Kluyveromyces lactis: one gene and its partners. The protein of the gene in region 4 purifies or fractionates together with the protein of the main gene of each other region. This does not show direct contact. Links are inferred from orthologs where the notes say so. Each region holds a gene or a part of one and is shown on either strand. Other genes may lie near its edges. The genes, in order: KLLA0_E14257g, SIS1, SDA1, RPL25, RBG1, ARX1 and ENP1.

What was found.
Region 1: the proteins of RPL25 (region 4) and KLLA0_E14257g purify together in Saccharomyces cerevisiae (affinity purification with mass spectrometry; 3 studies listed by BioGRID). This does not show direct contact. The link is inferred for Kluyveromyces lactis from reciprocal best matches to the Saccharomyces cerevisiae genes RPL25 and LOC1.
Region 2: the proteins of RPL25 (region 4) and SIS1 purify together in Saccharomyces cerevisiae (affinity purification with mass spectrometry; 3 studies listed by BioGRID). This does not show direct contact. The link is inferred for Kluyveromyces lactis from reciprocal best matches to the Saccharomyces cerevisiae genes RPL25 and SIS1.
Region 3: the proteins of RPL25 (region 4) and SDA1 purify together in Saccharomyces cerevisiae (affinity purification with mass spectrometry; 3 studies listed by BioGRID). This does not show direct contact. The link is inferred for Kluyveromyces lactis from reciprocal best matches to the Saccharomyces cerevisiae genes RPL25 and SDA1.
Region 5: the proteins of RPL25 (region 4) and RBG1 purify together in Saccharomyces cerevisiae (affinity purification with mass spectrometry; 3 studies listed by BioGRID, with this or other methods). This does not show direct contact. The link is inferred for Kluyveromyces lactis from reciprocal best matches to the Saccharomyces cerevisiae genes RPL25 and RBG1.
Region 6: the proteins of RPL25 (region 4) and ARX1 purify together in Saccharomyces cerevisiae (affinity purification with western blotting; 4 studies listed by BioGRID, with this or other methods). This does not show direct contact. The link is inferred for Kluyveromyces lactis from reciprocal best matches to the Saccharomyces cerevisiae genes RPL25 and ARX1.
Region 7: the proteins of RPL25 (region 4) and ENP1 purify together in Saccharomyces cerevisiae (affinity purification with mass spectrometry; 3 studies listed by BioGRID). This does not show direct contact. The link is inferred for Kluyveromyces lactis from reciprocal best matches to the Saccharomyces cerevisiae genes RPL25 and ENP1.

The regions. Positions count from the first base shown.
Region 1 is NC_006041.1:1,262,097-1,264,926, reverse strand, and holds KLLA0_E14257g (Loc1p), read left to right. Parts: upstream 1-1,684; coding exon 1,685-2,308; downstream 2,309-2,830. Other genes in the region: histone acetyltransferase catalytic subunit HAT1, read left to right, coding at 1-61. UniProt on the Saccharomyces cerevisiae protein: Required for efficient assembly and nuclear export of the 60S ribosomal subunit. Involved in asymmetric localization of ASH1 mRNA.
Region 2 is NC_006040.1:410,873-413,869, reverse strand, and holds SIS1 (type II HSP40 co-chaperone SIS1), read left to right. Parts: upstream 1-1,190; coding exon 1,191-2,255; downstream 2,256-2,997. Other genes in the region: TOR complex subunit LST8, read right to left, coding at 1-508. UniProt on the Saccharomyces cerevisiae protein: Required for nuclear migration during mitosis. It is required for the normal initiation of translation. Might mediate the dissociation of a specific protein complex of the translation machinery. Essential for viability.
Region 3 is NC_006037.1:498,709-503,001, forward strand, and holds SDA1 (Sda1p), read left to right. Parts: upstream 1-1,388; coding exon 1,389-3,668; downstream 3,669-4,293. Other genes in the region: transcription factor TFIIIB subunit BRF1, read left to right, coding at 1-836.
Region 4 is NC_006041.1:675,030-678,038, forward strand, and holds RPL25 (60S ribosomal protein uL23), read left to right. Parts: upstream 1-1,376; coding exon 1,377-1,389; intron 1,390-2,004; coding exon 2,005-2,420; downstream 2,421-3,009. Other genes in the region: MRPS18 (mitochondrial 37S ribosomal protein YmS18), read left to right, coding at 1-598; BXI1 (Bxi1p), read right to left, coding at 2,661-3,009. UniProt on the Saccharomyces cerevisiae protein: Component of the ribosome, a large ribonucleoprotein complex responsible for the synthesis of proteins in the cell.
Region 5 is NC_006042.1:2,172,851-2,175,874, reverse strand, and holds RBG1 (GTP-binding protein RBG1), read right to left. Parts: upstream 1,786-3,024; coding exon 676-1,785; downstream 1-675. Other genes in the region: KLLA0_F23309g (uncharacterized protein), read left to right, coding at 1-102; FUN12 (translation initiation factor eIF5B), read left to right, coding at 2,447-3,024. UniProt on the Saccharomyces cerevisiae protein: Involved in ribosomal function.
Region 6 is NC_006042.1:1,098,075-1,101,728, forward strand, and holds ARX1 (putative hydrolase), read right to left. Parts: upstream 2,348-3,654; coding exon 632-2,347; downstream 1-631. Other genes in the region: recombinase DMC1, read right to left, coding at 1-80; PDA1 (pyruvate dehydrogenase (acetyl-transferring) subunit E1 alpha), read left to right, coding at 3,355-3,654. UniProt on the Saccharomyces cerevisiae protein: Probable metalloprotease involved in proper assembly of pre-ribosomal particles during the biogenesis of the 60S ribosomal subunit. Accompanies the pre-60S particles to the cytoplasm.
Region 7 is NC_006042.1:637,112-640,627, forward strand, and holds ENP1 (snoRNA-binding rRNA-processing protein ENP1), read left to right. Parts: upstream 1-1,499; coding exon 1,500-2,936; downstream 2,937-3,516. Other genes in the region: SRM1 (Ran guanyl-nucleotide exchange factor), read right to left, coding at 1-832; SNAP receptor USE1, read right to left, coding at 3,150-3,516. UniProt on the Saccharomyces cerevisiae protein: Required for normal export of the pre-40S particles from the nucleus to the cytoplasm.

The DNA of each region.
Region 1 (2,830 bases), about 590 kb from region 4:
TATCAGAAAAAGGACATTTTCTGACTCGCAAGGTGAATCTGACAAAAGACTCAAAGCATAAAACGTCGTAATGTCTTCTTTGGATGGTTCACTTGTCAAACAAGCTGGTAACTAAGACTTATTACTTCAACTTCATGAATTGTCAAATTAACATGCGAGAATTCTTTTCTCATTTAGATAAATAGAAATCAAAGATAGTTAGTCCTTTTTGGATTATCTTGAGTTTCGACCACGATGTCGTGGATTACTAGCGCCTTAGCGGCAAGAATTGTCTACTGCTATTTTACTTTAAGAGCTTTCTTCATTATAAGAAGAATAAGTTAGGCCTGATATTGATAAACCAAATCTGTACTACTGGTAATGTATTAACCGCGATTAAATTGAAAAATAGCAAGTTTTGAGAATATGGTACTGTCTCTTATTGAACAGGATACTGTGAAGTAGTGACATTAGGGACTTGGTCTAGAGGGATAGTGATGTAAAAGTTGATGATGGACATTTCGATCTCCTGATCGGGTTTTTCTGTACTTTCTGGACGATAACCTGGGGATTTAATTAAGAGCTTCGCATGTGTTATGTAAACTATTTATGATGTTCTTTGGTTCTTCTTCGATATTCTTCTTGGTATATGCCGTCTAACATACATATAAATGTAGAACAATGATAGATATATCGTCAAATTCGAATGGAAGAATTCGATGAAGAAAACTCTATTTATATATTTTCGGGATTTGTTGATCAATAACAATATGCTATCGTATAGATCCTAGTTCATAGCGGCTCCAGTAGTATATTTACTGCTTCTGAAAAAAAAATGACACCTTAGAAGTTCTCTCACAACTCCATACAATAACATCTCCACTACCTTCTTCCCGGCTTAATTTTTTAATATTTATTATTAATTTCCTATTGAAACAGAAAATATATTTATTTTTCGGAATAGTAAAACTATACAATATTTTAAAATAAATTGAATTAAGTTTTATTTAAATTAAATAGATAATTATAAAAAAAGTAAAAATTTATTTATTTCTATTATGAGAAAATTAATAGATATTTTCTCTAGAAAAATAAAAGAAGAATTAAAACTAATTTGAAATTATATTTTATTTGCACGTGATATATATACATCACTTTGTTCACTACTGTCTTGTTTAATATACAACATAACTATATGGATTATCATTATTATTACTATACTTAAAAAGACAATTGAAAGAAAAACTAATATCATTCGGATATCTGACATTTAAACTCCAGCACAGTGTACCTATATTACCTTATACTAGTCGTGAGTTGTGTACTCTGTATCATCTTATTGTTTCTGATCATTTATTCATTTTCTATCATTATTATATTTTTTTATATTTTTTTATCTAATTTAATTTATTCTATTTTATTTTAATTGTTTATTCTATTTTTTCACATTGACATGCAGGAATTCAAGAAATAAAGTGTTACCAAGCGAAAAGAAATAAAAATAAAACTTTTCGATGATGAATTGAGCTCATCTCATCGCTTTGGTAGAACACTATCACAACTACTACAAAAGCACAACTGGACTTGAATTTATACCTCTGGGTACGCTGTCTACTAGTTAAACCGCGAGACAAGTCTGAATTTACAATAATCAGACTTATAGAAGAAAAATCCTTGACGCATAACAATCCATCGAACTTGAAAGATGGCTCCCAAACAATCAAAAACGGCTAAGAGATCCAAGAAACAAAATGGAACGAGGGAAGTAAGATCAGAAGTATTCGAGGACTCTATTGCCAAAAATCAAATGGCAAACGTGCCTAAAATGACTGAAAAATCTGATACCAAGAAACCAACCAAGTTACAGGTGAAGAAGGATAATTTCAAAGCACGTCTATATGGTAGCCAGAAGAAGAAGGAAAGACGCTATACCGAGAAAGAATTAAATATTCCAACACTTAATAGAGCGATTGTACCTGGTGTAAAAATCAAAAAGGGTAAAAAGGGGAAGAAGTTCATCGGTGATCATGATTTAATAGCGTTAAACAGATTAATCAAAACGATAGGTGATAAAAATGATGAAATAACAGAGAGCAAATTAGAGAAGACAAGGAGACTCGAAGAAATTCGTGATCTAAAGAGACAAGAAATGGAAAGAAAAGAAACCGAAAAGAAGGAACAACTAGAGGGTAAGAAAGATGAAATCAAGAAGAAGGCATCCGTTGCCAGAACTATTCGTAGGAAAACCAAAAGGCAAGAACTGAAACAAGAGACATTAGCAGCTCAGTCTGAACCTATCAAGAAGAAGAAATCTGTCAGCTTTGCATAGTTAATACATCAATTTATATATGCATATGTGTGTATGTAAATGGAGGAATCGATAACCTTTTAGCATCGATCATGTGACTAAACATATTAAAAACATTAGATTACCGTTACTGTAACAACTGGAGTTAATCAGCGTTTCAGCCTCAACACAATTTTGGTGTCAGCAGCTGTTCAAAGATTCGGATATGAGGGCGCATGTGTGTATCCGGCTGCCATGTCGGTCTTCTATTTTCTAGTCATTGTTGATGATGAGAGAACAGAGACATTTCAACGTTGTTGGGGACTTCCATACAATGCAGATTGAAAAGTGGGACATTCTTACGATTCTGAAGCCAGATGATAAAAAAAAAAAAAAAGAAAACTGACGCTGCTCTGCCAGATACCGTTATTGACAAGATGCTTTCAGCTGGTAAACACAAGCACCATTTTTTTTTACGTGACTTAACTATTCTGAGTTCATCTAGTATTCTGGTAAAGCAACGGTCAAAAACTCATCCCTTCAGAGTTTGGCATGTGATTAACA
Region 2 (2,997 bases), on a different chromosome or scaffold from region 4:
CGCTTGCAACGGACAACGACTGTAATGGCGTGTTATCTTCTGGTGTCAGCTGGTTTGTGCACTGGTTTTCACCAAGATCCCAAATCCTGATATTCCCATCCTGATCGCAGGAAATCAATTCCCCTTGGTTCGGATGTATCGCTACTTCATTGACAGGTGCATTATGCTTGTAATTCCTTTGCACAGATGGGGACCGTACATCCCAAACCTTAATAGTCCCATCTTCACTAGACGATACCATCCATCGATTTTCCTGTTGAAATGCAATCGACGTTACGTTCCCTTTATGGCCTTCGAAAGAGGACACCGGATTTGGATTATTCGACCGTATATCATAAAGACGGACGTGTAAATGACCAGCAGCAGCCAAATATTTCTTATCGGACGTAATCTCTAATCGATTCACTTGGGAATCTGCATGTTGAATGGTTCGTGAACAGACTCCAGTCAAAGCTTCCCAGAACCTAATTGTGTGGTCGTATCCAGCACTCGCTAGAATAACAGACATGGCAATATTGAAGTTAGTCTGACCGTACACAATAAGAAACCTCTACCTTGTTCACAGGGGAGAAAAAGCCTTGAAAACTCCTCAGATTCCTTAAGACTTTCTTTCATCTAGTATATTGCATATTCTTTATCACATTAAACCATAATTTGTCAATATTCATGATTGAGATATAAACAACAGCAATTGAAACAAAAGTGGAGGCATAGAGATAGCCACAAGATTGTGTAGTGGCTAATGTCATTGAATGACACCTGATTTGCGGCTTTGTGATGACAGATTTGTATTGGTGGGAAACTTCTATATCACGTGATTGTCACATGAATCTCGCGTGCTTAAAGCATTCATGTTTTTTTACTTCTAGAAGGTTCCAGGGTATACTCTGAAAGAACATGATCGGTTGCAACAGAACTGAACCTGAATATATAGGAATGAAATGTTATATAAAGGTTTTCAAAGAACAGGATGTTTTTCGTTCAAAGATTATTGGTCGTTGGTATTCGATCGACATGTTTAGAGAAGAGTTTTATTGCATCTTTTGTCCCATTGGTATCTCGAAACAGTGTAAACATTAACTGATTCTTTTAGTTTACTCTAATTCTTCTAGTTTAGATAGAGCTAATTTGAACTATCATTCGACATATATACAAAAGGACAATTACCAAATTTGAAACGTCGTAGGAGTATGGTTAAGGACACTAAATTATATGATTTGCTAGGAATTTCGCCTAGTGCAGGTGAAGCCGAGATTAAAAAAGGGTACAGAAAGGCTGCCTTGAAGTATCATCCAGATAAGCCTACAGGTGACACTGAGAAGTTTAAAGAAATCTCTGAGGCTTTTGAGATTCTTTCAGATGCTCAGAAGAGGGAAGTTTACGATACTTATGGTCTAGAGGCTGCTCGTGGTAATGCTCCTCAATTTGGAGGAGCGGGAGGGCCTGGTGGGCCTGGTGGGCCTGGAGGATTTTCTTCTGGTGGGTTTGCCGGGGGACATGCGTTCTCACAAGATGACGCTTTCAACATCTTTTCACAGTTCTTTGGTGGAGGAGGTGCTGCCGGAGGTGCTTCTCCATTTGGATTCTCTGCTAGCGGCGGGTCTGGTGATGATTTCGGGTTTGGAGGCAGTAGTTTCCATTCCTCTTCGGGCGGCATGCCAGGCGGTATGCCAGGTGGAATGCCAGGTGGAATGCCAGGTGGATTCAGTAGACAACAGGCTAGACCTGAAGAAGAAGTTGTTCAGGTCAATCTACCTGTGTCCTTAGAAGATTTATTCAGCGGTAAGAAGAAATCATTCAAGATCACAAGAAAAGGCGCCGGTGGTGTGTCCGAAAAGAACCAAATTGACATCCAATTGAAACCAGGTTGGAAAGCAGGTACCAAGATTACTTTCAAAGGTGAAGGTGACTATAATCCAAGAACTGGTGGTAGACAAACATTACAATTCGTTCTACAGGAAAAACCACACGAATTTTTCACCAGACAAGACAATGATTTGATTTACACTTTACCACTTTCTTTCAAAGAATCTCTTCTAGGTTTCTCCAAGCAAGTACAAACCATCGACGGTAAAACAATTCCAATCACAAGAACGCAGCCAATTCAACCTACTCAAACCTCAACATATCCCGGACAAGGTATGACACTGTCAAAGAATCCTTCCCAAAGAGGTGATTTGATTATTAAGTTCAAGATCGATTATCCAACCTCTTTAACACCTCAACAAAGACAAGCCATTATGGATAACTTCTGAATGAAAGATGAAGAATGTCTTTATAACGAAAATAAATCATAAAAGTATGACATGACGATTGCAAATTTAGACTTCTGACGGTGATCATGTTTACAATTCAACGTCTGCCAGAAATATTATCTTCCCACCATTATGGTTCTATGTCATATGTTTTCATTTCTTTAAATGTTTACTCCCATTAATTATTTCCAATTCAAATGTTCCATTCACATTCACTTCAGCAGAAGCAATCTTATCGTATGGCTACATTGTCTGTCGATTAATGCGTTAACTTTCTGACCACACTGTACACTATTTTCAAAAAAATATCCTTCGGTAAATGAAGCACGCAACATAAGTTGAGGACGCAATATAATATGCGAGAGAATACAAGGAGAATTATTCAATGATTGTTAATACTGGTAAAGTAAGAAACGGGACGTTTCATTGTGACACCTCGACTTCTGTTCACAATGTAACCATTTGCATAGATTTTAACCTTCATTTACCTTTTTATTGAGCAAATGACATCATGCAAATAAAAGACATACCAATCTGCAAGTTTCCCGACTTCTATTTGGTTCCGAACAATTGATGTCTGCCAAAAAAAAAAAAACTCCAAGTATTATTATCAAATCTTCTATCTACCTCATACATTTACCATTACTTTTTGCCATTACTTCAATTGAAGACGTAATGGTGTCTTCACACGCGCATAAATAATTTACAAATTTATATATACGAATACAATGATATACAACAT
Region 3 (4,293 bases), on a different chromosome or scaffold from region 4:
CTAAGCTCTCCGTGAAAGAGTTCCGTGATGATGAAACTGAGGTAAATGAGGGTGAGAGAAGTGCCGAATCGAAACCTCCTAGTTTCGATAAGAACAGACTAAAGGAAAAGAAAATAAAAGATTCTTTGGATACTAAAGAGATGTTGGAGACAAGCGAGGAAGCCGTGTCAAGAAATCCAATTTTGACTCAAGTGCTCGGAGCGCAGGAACTATCGTCTAAAGAAGTCCTTTATTATTTGAAGAAGCTTTCTGAACGCAGAAAAGCTGAATTCAGTCGTATAAAAGCTACGCATGGAATCGATGGAGAAGACTTACACAAAACTGAGAAAGACAAGAAACGTTCCCTGGATGAAATTGATGGATATAGTCTTGAAAAGGATCCATATAGACCAAGAAATTTACATTTATTACCCACCACAGCTTCTCTGCTTTCAAAAGTCAGCGATCATCCTGAAAATTTGGATGATGTTGATGATGCAGAATTGGATTCTCACTTGTTAGATGAAGAAGCTTCCAAATTGAAAGAACGTATTTGGATTGATATCAACGGTGATTACTTGATTGAACAAGAATCAAAAAGACTCAAACAGGAAGCAGATTTGGCCAGTGGGAATACTTCGCTACGAAAAAAACGCAGCAAACGTACTAATAGAAACCAATCCAGTGCAAGCATCGTCAAAGTTCAAGTCGACGGACTACCGCTTGATGTTTCCGTGGATGACGCTGATGCTGTAGATGTTGTCGCAGCTGGAGGTGTCAAGAATCTATTACAAAAGACGACTTTCTCAAAGAAGATCAATTACGATGCTATTAACGGTCTCTTTGGACAAAAATAGTTTCTACGTCGTCACTGTTTCTCTTCTCTTGTACGATATCCATCAGATCAAACTCAAGAAAATTATATGAATACCAACTGCTATTTACATATCGTTACTTGATACAGATGTCTGTTTTTGCTCTTTTTTATTTTAATATTTTACACTAAATTGGTGTATCAATTTCATTTCGATTATATTTTTGGAACTATATTTAAACGGCGTACATAATTTATAAACATTGCAAACAAATATTCGTTTGGTGTGGACTATTATTCATTTATGGAACACAATAATAAGCTACCATCAGTATACCATTTTGCCTATTCAGATATTAAAGAGCCTTAAACCCACTTTTTGCCTCTGGTTTCTTCTTTCCGTACCGTGAGTGAAAAGAAATTTTTTAGAAGGAAGAAAATTTTGAGATGAGATGCGATGAGATAGAACCTATGTATGAACAAAGTATATCACTCCGAGACAACTAAAGTTGCCTAACACTATTCGAACTTGTGCAAATCAACTAAGTATTTCCGAACAGTGAAAAGGAATCACATAATCAAATAAGAAACAAATATGGTTAGGAGATCTCGTGCTGCTATTCTACCGACAAACATTATTCTCTTGCAGAACCTTGTTAAGCGTGATCCTGAATCCTATCGTGAAGAGTTTCTACAGCAATATGCTCACTACCAATCATTAAGAGACATTTTCATGTTAAATTCGGTCAACAACGAGAGCACTGATGAAAGTGCAATGGCTGAGTTTATGGGAGCAATTGGATTTGTATCTCAAGTTTGTTCCTGTTATCCTCGTGAAACGGCAAACTTCCCAAACGAATTGAAACAGTTAGTATTAGATCACCACAAATCGCTTCCGTTTGACGTGAAAGAAAAGATTATCACCAGTCTAACTATGTTGAGAAATAAGAACGTTATCAGCCCTGAGACTTTGATTCAAACTATGTTCCCATTGCTTATTGCATACTCTTCCCCTAGTAATTCGATGGTCCAGAATTCTCACGCCAAAGAGCTAAGAACTTTAATCTACAACACTCTAGTACAGTTGATGAAATCTTGTAACACCAGTGGTAAGAACCAAAAATTAAACAAATCTACCCATGCGTTGTGTTTCAATTTGTTGGAACAGCCAGATTCTCAAGGTATATGGGCATCGAAATTGACAAGAGAGTTATGGAGAAGAGGTATCTGGGACGATTCAAGATCGGTTGAAATTATGACCCATGCTGCACTACATAACGATGTTAAAATTGCATACAGTGGTGTCTTGTTCTTTTTGGATGCTGATAAAGAGCGTGAAGAAGCGTTTGAAGAAAACGACGATGAGGATGAAATCGATACTACCGCTTTGAAGCACAAGCTCCAGATCAACAAGAAATCTAGTAAAAGAGGTAAGAAGCTAGAGCAAGCACTTAAGGTCGTAAAGAAGAAATCTGCTAAAGGTGTTCAACAGAATAATTTCTTAAATTTCAGTGCCATCCATCTATTACGTGATCCACAAGGGTTTGCCGAGAAATTGTTTGAAAGACATCTAAGTGGTAAGAATTCGAACAAATTTGATTTCGAACAAAAGACTGCCATCATGCAATTATTATCCCGTTTAACAGGTACACACAAGTTAATGGTTCTTGGACTATATTCATACTTCTTAAAATACCTGACGCCAAAGCAAAGGGACGTTACCAAGATTCTATCTGCTGCAGCCCAATCCTGTCATGATCTTGTTCCTCCAGAGACCATTGAAGTGATGGTGAGGAAGATAGCCAACGAGTTTGTTAGCGACGGTGTTTCAAATGAGGTTGCCACTGTGGGTTTGAATACAGTCAGAGAAATCTTGACTCGTGCCCCATTAGCTATCGATGAGACTTTACTACAAGATTTAACCGAATATAAGGGCTCCAAGGCCAAGAGTGTCGCCATTGCTGCTAAGGGTTTGATTGCATTATACAGAGAAGTTGCTCCGGAGATGTTAAAGAAGAAAGATCGTGGTAAGACCGCTTCTATGGGACTACAGGACGACAAACGCAATGGCAGGGAATCCAAACGTGTCAAGTTTGGTGTCGAGACTACTAATGTACAAGGTATAGATGGTATTGAGTTACTAGCGAAGTGGAAGCGTGAGAACGGAAACGAGGAGGATGATGATGATGAGGCTGCATGGGATTTGAACAACCGGGATGAATTATCAGATGCTTCGGATGTAGAAGGTGAGTGGGTGACGATAGAAAGCGATAAAGAGTACGAAGTTGACATGGACTCTGACGATGAGGAAAGCAAGAACAAAACAGGTCATAAGGGTAAGAAACGTTCCCACGATGAAGTCGAACCGGAAGCTGGTGAAGATAGTGATTTAGAATTATCCGGTGATGAAGAAGAACCAAAGGTGGGAGAAGAGCAGAAGGAAGAAAGTGAATCCGCTGACCCAGAAGAAGCTTTCCGTGAATTAGCATCCAGTCGTATCTTAACACCAGCCGATTTCGCTAAACTTCAAGAACTACGTACTGAAAAGGGTGTTACTAAACTTATGGGGATCAACAACGAAGAAACTATTGAGCATTACAAGCTTATGGGTCCAGCCAAGCACAAGAAACAGAACAAAGAGGAAAGAATGGCATCTATTATGGAAGGTCGTGAAGACCGTGAAAAATACGGAAGTAAGCGTGGTAAGCGTGACAGTTCAATGAGATCAACTACAAATAAAGAGAAATCTAGAAAGAAGAACTTTGTGATGATGATCCATAAGAGATCTGTGAAGGGTAAGCAAAAAATGTCGCTTCGTGACAAACAAAAGGTCTTGCGTGCTCATATCACGAAGCAAAAGAAGAAAGGTAATTAAACTAGATGGCATGGCAAAAGTAGTTATATTAATTATAGGCACTTGTAGACACAGCATATAAAAGATAGAAAAAAAAGACACGTCAGTGTCACGTGACCAACTCATTTTCTCCATTTAGCCCAGTTTTGAAGTTGTCCTTTCAGCCAATGTGATATCACCATCCGAGACCACTTGTCTGCTGCTCATATCCCAGGTCAAAAAGGACTATTAACACGGCTTAACGGTGTGCCAACGGTTTTGGACCGAGAAGGACATGATCTAACAGGGAAAAAAAAAACTCGAAAAGAAAAAGAGACCACTACAGGATGTTTGAGGAACTTCAGCTTGAATGGAAATCTCGACACTATCAGCTATATTCATGCGTCGGCATTAAGCCTTCTTCGCATCACGGGCTGTGGCCCGTGATGCTGGCCCGCACTAAATGGGGCCGGGAAGGCATATGTTCCAACGCGTTACTCTCGAGGGAACGATTTACTACTGCCTAGACTAGCTCGTCTCAGTATTATTCAATGTAGTGCAGCAGCATTCACCTGGGGTGATGTCTTTACAATAAAACCTATACAGTACAACAAGAGCCGACTTTAACTCACAATTGAATGATGAGTCGTCAGTGAAGTAATCGCAA
Region 4 (3,009 bases):
ACTGTTCAGCTCAACGGCCAGGACAAACCAAGATGTGGCTTCCATCTTATTTTCATCTGTCAAAGGATCAGAAAAGGCTCCAGTGATGGAAGACACCAATGTTGTCCAACCTAATACTCTTCGTGGTAGCAATAAGAAAGGGAGAGTCGATGAAGCAGTGATAAAATATATATTGAACTGCAGATTCACTAAGAACAATACACATTTCACATACAGTGCCGTAATGGAGGATAGAAACTTTTTGGCGAACAATCCACAATTATCCTACAACGAAAAATATCTATACTATTTGAAACTCCCACAACAGGTCAAATTTCATTTATCTACTGGTCATTTAGGGTTCCGTAAAGCTGCCCGTGGTGAATATGAAGCCTCATTCCAAACAGCAACTAAGTTATTTGAAACTCTTTATCAGAAGAAGCTACTGGATAAGAATATAGAAATTGTTATGAGAGACTTCGGTAAGGGAAGAGATGCTTTCATCAGTGCATTGAACGGTAAGGAAGGAAACCTCATCAGACGTCACATATCTAGAGTAGCCGATGCTACTGAATTGAAATTCGGTGGTGTGAAGGCCCCAAGACCAAGAAGATTGTGATTCGGTCTCTCACCATTTCATCTTTCACTAATAGTCTCTGTGTATAGACATGAATTTGGAAAATAATTCGGTATAATAACAAATAATGCATGTATATAAATTTAACGTAACGCACCAGAATTTTCGTTTAAATACATTAAGACAGCAATTCGAAGTATGATTTCACACAATTATGACATTGCTCATGCCTTATAATCTCTGGATGCTAATTTCATCGAAGATTTAAAATTTTCCGGAAAGTAGCGGGACTGTTTTGTGGATGCACGGATTTGGCTTTAGATTTTTTGTAAAAATTGTTAGGTATTTTAGTATTCCATTTTAGGTAATTAAAATTTCAATTGGAGGTTCTAAAAAAAGGAAAGGCAGAGGAGGCGTTCCGGCTGCCAGGTTCTCACCGTTCTCCTTCTGTCGCTCCGTTCGAGTCTAGTCTTCCCAGCGAGAGGACTCTGATTCTGCCCACTCTCCCCTCTACTCGCACTGACATTCTGAGGTGCGTAGGCAGGAACTGCTGTCCATCCAGCCTATCATCCATTCCTTCCCTGAGCCTGGAGCCATATCCTGTACCTGCAAATCACAGTGCGATTGTGCTACCTGGCCAGGGATACCCTGTTCGTGCTGAATATTCCTTTCGACTACGGACAGTTTCGCTTGCGACCTTGTATCTGTATTGTTTCATCAAAAGTAATATTGAACGTTTTAAAGAATATTTCAATATCATTCGGTATTAGAGTACACTTGATTAGCATTCAAAGAGGCCGCACACAACCAAGACACAAAAATGGCTCCATCTAGTATGTTACTGAGATGCGCAACTGAAAGCTACATGCTGATAATGGTGGGATAACGACTTACCGCGGGCTGAACAAGTGAGAATGAAGATATTACCTTGAGAGTGTAATTACACACCTGTGGGAGCAAACGAATGGTAGAATAAGTACGCTAATGAGAAACCAACAATACGATCTGAATAATTGTACATGATATTACCTATGTGTGAACCTGTCATGAAAGCGGATGAACATCAAATGAAACGATGAACACAAACACGCTGCAATGAGAACATAAAGTACGAGTTATCAGCCTTTTAAATGATGGTTAAACAACTACTATTTCGATTAGATCCTTAAATTGGAATACTTTATCATGATACGTCGAAAAGTTACGATGCGTAGTTATACGGTTCATCGGTGTTTATGAGTTAAGTTTTTTGAAAACATGTTAAAAGGCCCACTCGACGCTTTCCCTGTACCGTTCAGAGCATAAAATACACCTTACATTTAATACACTTAAAGTCAATTCTCTAGTTTTACAGAAGAAAATCATGCCGTTATCGAACTAGTTATCCTTCAATCAACATTTAAATCCAGTTTTACTAACAAAATTTCCTATTATTATTTTTTCCACAGCTAAGGCTACTGCTGCTAAGAAGGCTGTTGTTAAGGGTACCAATGGTAAGAAGGCTTTGAAGGTCAGAACCTCTGCTTCCTTCAGATTGCCAAAGACCTTGAAGTTGGCTAGATCTCCAAAGTACGCTACCAAGGCTGTCCCACACTACAACAGATTGGACTCTTACAAAGTCATCGAACAACCAATCACTTCTGAAACTGCCATGAAGAAGGTTGAAGATGGTAACACTTTGGTTTTCAAGGTCTCTCTAAAGGCTAACAAGTACCAAATCAAGAAGGCTGTCAAGGAATTATACGAAGTTGATGTTTTGTCTGTCAACACCTTGGTTAGACCAAACGGTACCAAGAAGGCTTACGTCAGATTGACTGCCGACTTCGATGCCTTGGACATTGCCAACAGAATCGGTTACATCTAATCATTTTTAATGTATACATATCAACTGAATAAATCGTGTATTTCAATTAAATCATTTTAGTTTCAAATAAAGAAAAGAATGGATTTCATTAAAGCTTTTGAGAGCTATCAATGTATGAGACGTTAACAGCTTGTAATATTGAATCTGGGTATCGACTCTTGAGACATAAAGGGTAGTTCAGAACATATTTTTACTTGGACATAAGATGTATTTACATGTTTTGTAAGTATGCAAAAGGTGTTAATCGTCTTGATTTCTTGACATGATCCGTAGAATGTATAAAAATAGGTTGATGATATCCAAATACAACATCATAGCACATTTGATCTCTTCACCGACGAGAACTTTTCTTAGGATTAATTGCGTGTCGACGAATATATAGACTGTGAAGAGAATAACTCCAACCCAACTCATTAACAAGTCTGTATTTGTGTCAAAGTGGAAGAAAATAGATGATATTGAGAACCCTATCATTACCCACAAAAACATATTCAACCAATAGTACCATTTTTGGAAGTCATATATCTGGAAATAGTTTGTAGAAAGCAAAGTACTGGTGATTCCGATAACAACGAACAAAGTCATCATA
Region 5 (3,024 bases), on a different chromosome or scaffold from region 4:
TATTCTTCTGATTTCCAAACTCCTGAGCCTGATAACAGTTCTGCATACAACGCAAGGCAATACGCAACTCCACGACTAAAAAGAATGGCGTTAAATAAATAAGGGATTTATTTCTCTGCGAATTTATCCGTTATTCAATGGAATACACTCTCATCAGTAGGCTGCATTTTCCTCCAGATTTCCTTGTTTGTTAATTCAAGCTGTACTATATCGCACCTTAAAAGGATTCATTAAAATACTGCTGTGATTTTGAGGATTCCACCAATACTATTCACATTCATTTCTAATAGAATAATATTCACTTCGTCAAATAACCGAAGTTTCATTCATTCATTCTTTCTTTCCATATCACCATCAGCATCCATCATTGCTTTTATATCTTAACATATATGTTGGCCAATATAAAAAGGCCATATGTATCCGTTGCTATCGATTTCACAAAATATCATATATTTACTACTATTTATGAATTTAAACATAACACGACAAATCAGTATTGAGTTAATGTTTAACAGAAGTTATGGCAACCTGAGTAATGAACGTTTACGATAATCTAACCAGATCCGTCTATGGAAAGCTGTTAAATAAAATGGATAACACTACATGAAAATGCGATGAAAATGCTAAAAACTATGATGACGGTGAGAAGAATGAGAAAAAAAAAGTAGCCTGTATTCATTTCTTCAAAATTGTGACAACATCTTCATCTTCTAATGTGTGATTAAGCCCCACATATTGAGGTTGATGCTTCACACTGCTGCCGTACACTAAAGCATTTCTGAAGTCCTCAACTAAAGATTTGTGAATTTGGTTACAGAAATCTCTTACGGTACACCTATCCGACCTTAACACCACTGGGTCTGTGAAATCAGGCATCGTACCCTTTGGCTTAGTATAAACACGGACTAAGTTTAGTCTATCCCACATAACTTCTAGTAGTTCATCCAAATTCCATTCCTTACCAGAAGAGATTGGAACTGCATTTGGAATTCTGTATAAAAGTTCCAATTCTTCTAATGACAAAGAATCTATCTTGTTTAGCACATAAATAGCTGGCATATACCTTCTTGATGGAGCTTCAAGTACATCAATCAAATCATCGACGGTGGCATCACATCTGAAAGCAAGCTCCGCACTGTTGATTCTATATTCACTCATAACAGCTCTAATTTCGTCCGGGCCTAGATGCGTCAATGGTACTGTATTTGTAATGGAGATACCACCTTTTTCCTTTTTCTTGATTAAAATGTCTGGAGGTTGCTTGTTCAAACGGATACCAACACCTTCCAATTCCTTTTCAATGATTTGTTTATGATGCAATGGTTTATTAACGTCCAAAACAATAAATAGTAGATTACAAGTTCTGGCCACAGCGATAACTTGTTTACCACGACCACGGCCATCTTTAGCACCGTCAATGATACCCGGCAAATCCAACATTTGAATCTTAGCACCCTTATATTTGATGACACCTGGAACCGTAACTAAAGTGGTAAACTCGTACTCAGCAGCCTCAGATTCTGTACCAGTCAGCTTAGAAAGTAAAGTACTCTTACCCACTGAGGGGAACCCAACAAATCCGACTGAAGCAACACCGGTCCTGGCCACATCGAAACCAACACCGGCACCACCACCACTACCGCTTGAAGCAGCCTGCAATAACTCTCTTCTAAGTTTCGCTAGCTTAGCTTTCAACTGACCCAAATGAAAAGAAGTGGCCTTATTCTTTTGGGTACGGGCCATCTCATCTTCGATGGCCTTAATCTTCTCTACTGTCGTAGACATCTTTTATTTCAATTCAGATATTGATCAGGAAATTCTTCAAAATAAATCCTTTTTTTATAATTTGATGCCAACCTCAGTGGAATACTGACTGATACCTATCGATTCCAACCGTTTAACTGATTTTGGCCTCTGTAACCAAACTATAATGAAACTCTAATATCATTAATCCTAAGCGATGAGATTGTGAATATCTGTAGAACTTCCTACTGTTGACAAAGATGAAGCTGTCAATTTTTTTCAAGCCGTCCAAGGTGATATTTTATACATCTTCAACGCCGATCGTAAATAGCGATGCTGAATGGCATCGACCGGTCTTCACCCCGAAAATAAGGCTAATGGGACCTTTCTGGCCCCTGAAAGATGAATTTTGGGCGCACCTCACCAAAGACAGGGTAATCTAGTATGTTATTTTTTTCTTTCCATCGAGGTACGTATAATCATGAACTTGAAGTTTTTCATCAGTTTTTTATTTTTTAGTACAGGTTTTTCTCACAACTTAAAACTATTTGAAAGATTGTTTTGCGTAAGATCAATTAAAAGGATTTTACATTATCTCTTTACTTGTTATAACCCTCTTTTACACTTTGTTTGCTGTCTATCATAATAAGATTTCGGAAGAACTGTAAAAGTAGAACCTTTGTATCCGAAAGAGTAGTTCAAGATGGCGAAAAAATCAAAGAAGAATCAACAGAATTACTGGGACGAAGAGTATGAGGAAGATGTTCCTCAAGAATCTTCAGTAGAACCCTCGATAGATGGTTCTGTTGAGCCAAGTGGTGAAACCGAAGTTGCCGATGCATCTGCCATTGAGGAAGATTTTATGTCCACTTTGAAGAAATCTAAGAAGAAGCTGGACAAGAAGGAAGACGAGGATACTAAGAAGCCAGTCTTGAAGTCCAAGAAGGAAAAGGAAAAGGAAAAGAAGGAGAAGGAGAAGGAGAAGAAGAGGGAACAAGCCGCAAAGAAGAAGGCTCAGCAACAAGCGCAGAAGGAAAACAACAAGAAACTTCATGCTGAACAAACTTCTAAACTGAAGGCTGAAAAGGAGGCTGGCAAGTCCACTGAAGGTGCGGCACCAAAGGCTGCACCAAAGAAGAAGGTCCCAGCCGGTCTTGCTGCTTTGAAACGTCAATTGGAGTTACAAAAGCAGCTAGAAGAAGAAGAAAGGTTGGCCAGGGAAGAAGAAGAGAGATTGGAGAAGGAAGAAGAAGAAAAGTTGGCCAAGGCTGAACAAGAAAA
Region 6 (3,654 bases), on a different chromosome or scaffold from region 4:
ATATCAGACGCGTTAATTCCGAAGTTTTGTAACTCATCAATATTGACCACATTGGTTTTAGTTTCTGTCTCTGTAGACATGACAGCTTAAATAGAAATGGAATGGGACGTTTCAAGTAGAATGAAATGCAAAGTTATTGGTTTTTAGGATCACCTTCTCGCTCCTAGTTATGTGCACTAGATATCTCGCTATGTCATATTCATTGGTAGTTGGGTTTGTTGATTTGGTTTCTGACTCCAAATCCTTTTTATACTAAAATCTAATTAGCCGCCATCATTTTGAACGTTTTGATAATCCTTCCGAAGCAAACACACTAATAGTAGAAGAACTAATGACAAAGTTGAGAGCTTGAGTTCTATTATGATTTTGCTAGTGTACAGATCTACAAGATACTTAGAAGTTGCTATTTATACATTGTTTTTGTTGCAATTGGTTGGTAAGAATAAAGACTCATAAGAACAAGACTCTTGGGCTACCGAAATCAAACGAGTATTGAATATAATATGAACTGGTGTATCAATGTAGAGTTATTGTGTGCAGATGCGAAAAGGGTGTTTGTGTATGAAATAGAATTTGTTATCTGTTGAAGTAGTTCTATCAAAGAAGGTAGTTAATACTGGTAATGAATAAATTAGAATTTCATTTTCCATGGTTGAGTTTCTCTGATCTTCAAACCAAATCTCTTATCCTCGGACAATTGAGCCAGTTTGAATATACCTGCAACGATATTGCTTGCAGTATCCATAGAGTAAACAGAATGAACCCAGTTAGATTTTAGGTTTCCGCTGATTCTTAGCAACTCTTCATCACAGATGGCTACAGTGACACATTGACGGACCACAGGAACTGGCGTAGAGTGTTTTTTTAGCAAGGATTTCAACTGTAGGTTGGACAAACCTAGTTTAGGTAGAGGAAGCTCGAAACCTGGGTATAAACCTTTATTCTTTGCCATGGCGTCATAACTTGACACACCGGATGGGTTTGTTAGATCCAAGATCTTAGCCCAAGGAACGTGTTTTACGATGGTGACATCTCTGTCGATTGTTAGGTAGTTGTTAGAAATTTCAGAAAGACCTAATCTGAATGGCTTGATTTCTTGCTTGATGGTTTCGAAATCAGGCTCCTGTACGTCCAATGGGAAAGAATCAGCGATATGAGCTAATTTGGTAGGGTATACACCTTGTTTATCCAATCTGGTCAACACTTGTCTAGCAGCTCTTAACTTTAGAACATGGCTCTTTGAAAAATCACGGCAGATGGCACCTGGTCTAGCCACCACATCAGAGGATTCAGATTTACCGGAGAATTGATCGACAGTGTGTAAAGTGATCAAACCTGGCTCCAATCCTTGCAATGGAGCCAACTTCAAATCGATCATGTAAACTTCACCCTTGACAACGGTAAAATCATCTGTTGGGACCACGGTATCTTCGGTGATAAATGGGTTCTTACGCTTGACATCAACAGCAGTTTCATTGACGGTTCTAGCAAGCATAGCAGCTTCCTGATGAGACTCAGTCCAAATGACACCTTTGAAGTCTCTTTCGACAATGATATTTTCGTTTTGACCAGAAAGGAATCTTTTGATTCTTCTGATACGAGAACCAGGCACAACGCAACAATTATAAGATTGAGCAATGGTGTCAACTACGGTCCTAATCAAGGAACCAGTGACCTTCGTAGCGTTGAAATCAGCTGGAAGTTTGGTCAAATCGTTTGCAGCAGCTAATAAGTTAGTGACGGACTCAACAGCGATATGGGTGGCAGCTAGAGCATCAGCTTTACCACCTAGCAAAGCAGCTTCAGGTAGCAATTTTCCAGATTGGGCATCCTGAACGGTTGGGTAAATGACCACGGTGTGGGACACGTTACAAGTGTACCCATCGATGTGACAACCCAAAGTGATCTTAGCGACATCACCAACTTTCAAAAACCCAGACAAACTAGAAGTAACACCGTTACATAGCTCGATCGATTTGGTAGATCTAGATTTTTGGTTCCAACGGGACAAGTTTTCGATGTCATCCACTTCAGGACACCAGTTCTCGTTTATTTCATCGATATCAATACAAGTTGGCATTGAGATTCCCTTCTCGTTAACCTTATTGTTGAACTTAGTACTTAAACAATCGGCTATGAACGAATCAGTCAATAAACAAAGTTGATGAATCGGTAGCGGCTCCATAGACTTCTCATGATACATCTTATTGATCAAACTGATCAAAAAGTTTAAAGCAGTCTGAGCAATTTGACCTGCAGTTCTATATTTCTCAATTGTTGGTTCGATCAATACATTCTTATCTTTCAATAACACCTGAGTGTCTTCCTTTGAGATTTGTAACGCCATAGTACGGATAATTTTATCCACAAATTATTAGTATTAGCTGTTTTCTGATACAAAGGAGGGAACGATACACTATGATAATGATGTAAGTATGTACCTCGTTTCTCTTTACCTCATCTCATCTCATCGCTTTAAAGTTTTCACTGATACTTTTTTTTTCCAAATTTCTTTCCTGGATACAACCTTTCCTGCCACACAGCACTAAGATATTTCAAAAAATTTTCCAAAATATTACCCGGACCTCGATCAGAAGAGAATGAAAAAGAAATCACTTTCTGATCACGTGCGCCAAAAGTATTAATATTCGGGTAATGTGTATCATTAGAACTCATGACCCGCATATTATCCGGGTAATAGATCTGCTGCCCATGTTCCACCCAAACACCGCGCTGTGCACGTCACTTTTCCCACTCTTTCTAACAACAATCCCGTCTGTCTAATTGAATCAGCACAATAAACTCTACCTACACCAGACGAAACTGTCAGATATCCCATAATAAGTAGAATATCAATACTCTCCGCATCATCAGCTACCCAACGGTTCAAGTTTGACCCCAATTAGAGCAAAATTGACCTTGCTTATACCCACTTCTTGTTATTTCAAGTCCCTTATCTATACCGACTGGCTGGCTACGAAATTTTTTGAAGTTTTTTTCCCAAGTTCACAAGTATTTAAAGGCGGATTTAATTGTGAATATGATGAGAAACAGTTGTTGCGTGATTAAGAACCTTTTTTTGGTCTTTCAGTGATACTGAGCCAAGCAATTGATTAATTGACTGACTGATTGATTGATTGATTGATTTTTGTCAAATTTTTTGGAACAAGGAATCGTTCATTAGTTGGCTTTTTTTTGTTTTAATATAGAATCAGGAACTCAGAGCTTCTTCTTCTTTATTTCTTCTCTATACAACATATTTTGCCATCACTACTGCTGAGTGTGTATTTGTGTGTTCTAATTGTTGGTCGCTATAGTAGTTAATACCGAAAAGAACAATAAATTAGGCAAACCATGCTATCTTTGAAAGCTCAATCCTCTGTGGTTGGGAAGTCCAGCTCTTTGAGATTGGTTAGAAACTTTTCTAAAAACGTCCGTGCTTTGTCCCAGGTTGCTGATGAAACTAAGCCAGGTGATGATGACCTAGTTCAAATTGATTTGCCAGAAACCTCTTTTGAAGGTTATCTTTTGGATGTTCCTGAATTAAGTTATCAAACCACCAAGTCCAATTTGCTACAAATGTACAAGGATATGATTATCGTTAGAAGAATGGAAATGGCCTGTGACGCTTTGTACAAGGCTAAGAAAATTAGA
Region 7 (3,516 bases), on a different chromosome or scaffold from region 4:
AAATATACTTTATGTTATCCAACCCAAATGGTCTTGGATCTAAAGTTCTCAAACGAGAACGTTCCAAAATTCTTCTACCTAATTGTTGCTGTTGACCATTACCCCAGGCGTAAACAATACCAGTTTCATCCAAGAACAATATATGATCTTTCCCAGCAGCCATTTGAACAATCTTGGCTTTCTTGGAGAAGTTAGGGATTATCCAAGGGGTTTTCTGGACGGTAATCTCATCTCTGTAGAAACCTAAAATACCTTCGTTACAACGGAAGGTACCCCAAGCGTAAACGTCACCATTTTCAAATAGAGCAGCAGATAGATTGTCTGTGGCAGCAATCTGTACACATCTTAATTCGTCCAATGGTAAAGAGTCTCTAGGAATTTTAGTTGGAGTGGATTCAATTTCGTTGAGGTCACCATCTTCATCATCATCACTATCATTTGCATCCATATCTTTCAATTTTTCTACAGCTCCGCTAGTGTCTCTACCCAAAGCACCTGAGTCGTTAGTCCCCCACGACCAGATGTTATTGTCAGCGTCTAGCGCTAGGGTGTGCATTCCACCTGCAGCAAAAGACACAATTTTAGCCTCATCACGGGGCAAAAGGGGATTGAGTCTAGGTCTCTTAACTTCTTTGTTTTTAGCTAGAGGACCCAAGCCTAGTTCACACATTGATCCAGTTCCCCATACAAAAATGTCAAGTGGAACAACAGATCTATACAAATGTTTATAATCATCTTGAGAATTGATGCTAACAAACTTATGATTCAAAGTAGAGTGTAAATGCTTCCTTTTAACTGGAGTGTTCGCTACACTAGAAGATCTTTTAGACATGATTTCTTCAGTAACTGGTGGTCAATTAAAAGATTAATTGGAAGGGCCTAGTCTAATGTTAATTGTAACTTTGCTAAGATTGCAAGGAACGAAAAAAACGGAAATGAACACTTGGTTTTTGATCAATCGATAAGTACAACTCAAGGGAGAAGCTTGAGTGAACAAGAGACCAGCAATGTGTCACCACGCATATGAGATCACATTACACTTGATCCATTGTTAATTATATATACGTAAAACGAATCTAAGCTGCAGTTGAAAAATCTTTCCAGATTTTAAAGTCACGTGCAAAACAAACAACATTCTTTGCCTGTAATCATTAGAAGAACATAGCTCTTGGCTGTTTACAGTAGCTTGAATTTGTGTTCAACGCTGTGGCATATCTGTTTCAATCACGACGATCCCGCTGCCAATGCTCCAGAGTTATTTAATTGAACCTTTGACTTCTCTAAACAGAGTATCTCTAGCCTTTCTTTTTCTGTCCGTGCATTGACTGAAAATTTTTGGGATTTGAATAAGTAACGATGAGATGAGAAGCGATGAGATGAGATGAGATGAGATGAGATGAGGTAAATGGCAGATAACAATCACAAAATTACTCATTAGTGTCTGCTTTAGTGCTCAGAATACGACTAGTGATACAAGATTTATTTGTTCTACGGAGAAAATGGGTAAAGTAATGGGTGGCAGCGGTCGTAAACAGAGACACGATCCTTTATTGAACGATCTTGACTCTCAACATGGTAAGTTGAAAAGACAAGGTAAGAAAAAGATCGATGCTAAGGATCAAAAAGGCCATGAAGATGAAGAATTTGTCGATGCCCAGCAATCTAGAAAAATTTTGCAATTAGCTAGGGAACAGCAGGAAGAATTAGAGGAAGAGGACGAGCAGTCTCTGCAGACATCCAGCCAAGGAATAAACAGATTCTGTGTGGCCAACTATGCGGATGAAGATGATGTAGCTGAGGAAGAGGAAGCTCAAGGTAATAACATATCTGACTTTGAACCGGAAGATGAAGACGATTTCGAAGGATACGAGGAGGAAGAAGTGGTAGAAATTGACGAAGAAGATGCTGAAATGTTTGACCAATATTTCAAGACTTCTGCTGATTTCAACTCTGCCAATGGATCATATAACCTTGCCGATAAGATTATGGCTTCTATTAGAGAAAAAGAGATGGAACTACAGTATAATGAAGAAGAAGCAGGTGATGCCTCTGCAGTAGCGGAACCAGCTGCACCTGTAGATCGTACAGAAGGTGTCGCCTTACCACCCAAGGTGATTCAAGCATACCTTGCCGTTGGTACCATTATGCAGACCTGGAGACATGGTAAACTACCCAAACTATTCAAAGTTTTGCCTTCTCTAAATAACTGGCAAGATGTTCTCTATGTTACTAATCCAGAGGAATGGTCTCCGCATGCTATATACGAAGGTACTAAACTTTTTGTTTCTAACTTATCATCTAAAGAGGCCCAAAAATTCGTTATAGCTGTGTTGTTACCACGCTTCAGAGAAGAAATTGAATTTAACGAAGATCACAACTTAAATTACCATGTCTACCGTGCATTAAAGAAATCATTGTATAAACCGGCTGCCTTTTTCAAAGGGTTCTTATTCCCACTTGTGGAATCCGGTTGTAATGTTAGAGAAGCTACCATTGCTGCAAGTGTGTTATCCAAGGTCTCTGTGCCAGCTCTTCATTCTGCTGCAGCATTGTCCTACCTTTTAAGATTACCTTTTTCCCCAGCCACCACCGTTTTCATCAAAATTCTACTCGAGAAGAAGTATGCTTTGCCTTATCAAACTGTTGACGAATGTGTCTTCTACTTCATGAGATTCAGAGAAGTCACTGATGGAAGTACAGGCCAAGATGCCGTCAGAGTCTTACCTGTGGTATGGCATAAAGCTTTCTTAGCGTTTGCTCAACGTTATAAGAATGATATTACCCAAGATCAAAGAGATTTCCTACTTGAAACTGTTCGTCAAAGAGGTCACAAAGAAATTGGACCTGAAATCAGAAGAGAATTATTAGCCGGTGATAGTAGAGAATTTGTCAGTGATGTTGGTAATAAAGCTGATTTAATGTTTGATGTTCTGTAGTCAATAGTCCTATAACAATATAAGTGCCTGTCAATTTTAAACAAGTGTATAATATGCAATTATAGATAAGACAATCAATAGAATCAATCTATTCGATAAGTGGAAACGGTATCAATTAATTTCATCGAATATTCATGAGTCTATTTTGTACTTTGAAGCTTTTGAGTGAAGCAGAGCCTTTATCTAAATCTTGGAGATTTTAGCGGAAGACACTCATAAATCTGGAAATACTTTTATTACAAGATAGGTGACCAATAGACCAATTATAATAAACGATAAAAGTCCTAACTTCATTAAAAATCCAATTTTTTCATTGTGATACTTTTTCAATCTGGATCCGAGTGAAGAAAGGCTCTTAGAAGTAACATGCAATCCGATTTCTGCTGCCTTAAGAACAGTAGAGTCGTGTTCGATAGCATTCTGGAAAGCTTCCGCACCTTGTCTTAAGCCTGAAACTAGCTGGGACATGTCTTCAACCAGTTCCTTCTGAAGATCATCCTGAATTTGCATTTGTTTGTCAAATGATTCACCCTCCGTATCAGCGCTGTCCCTTCTTTTACCCATAAGCCTTTGGCGGAGC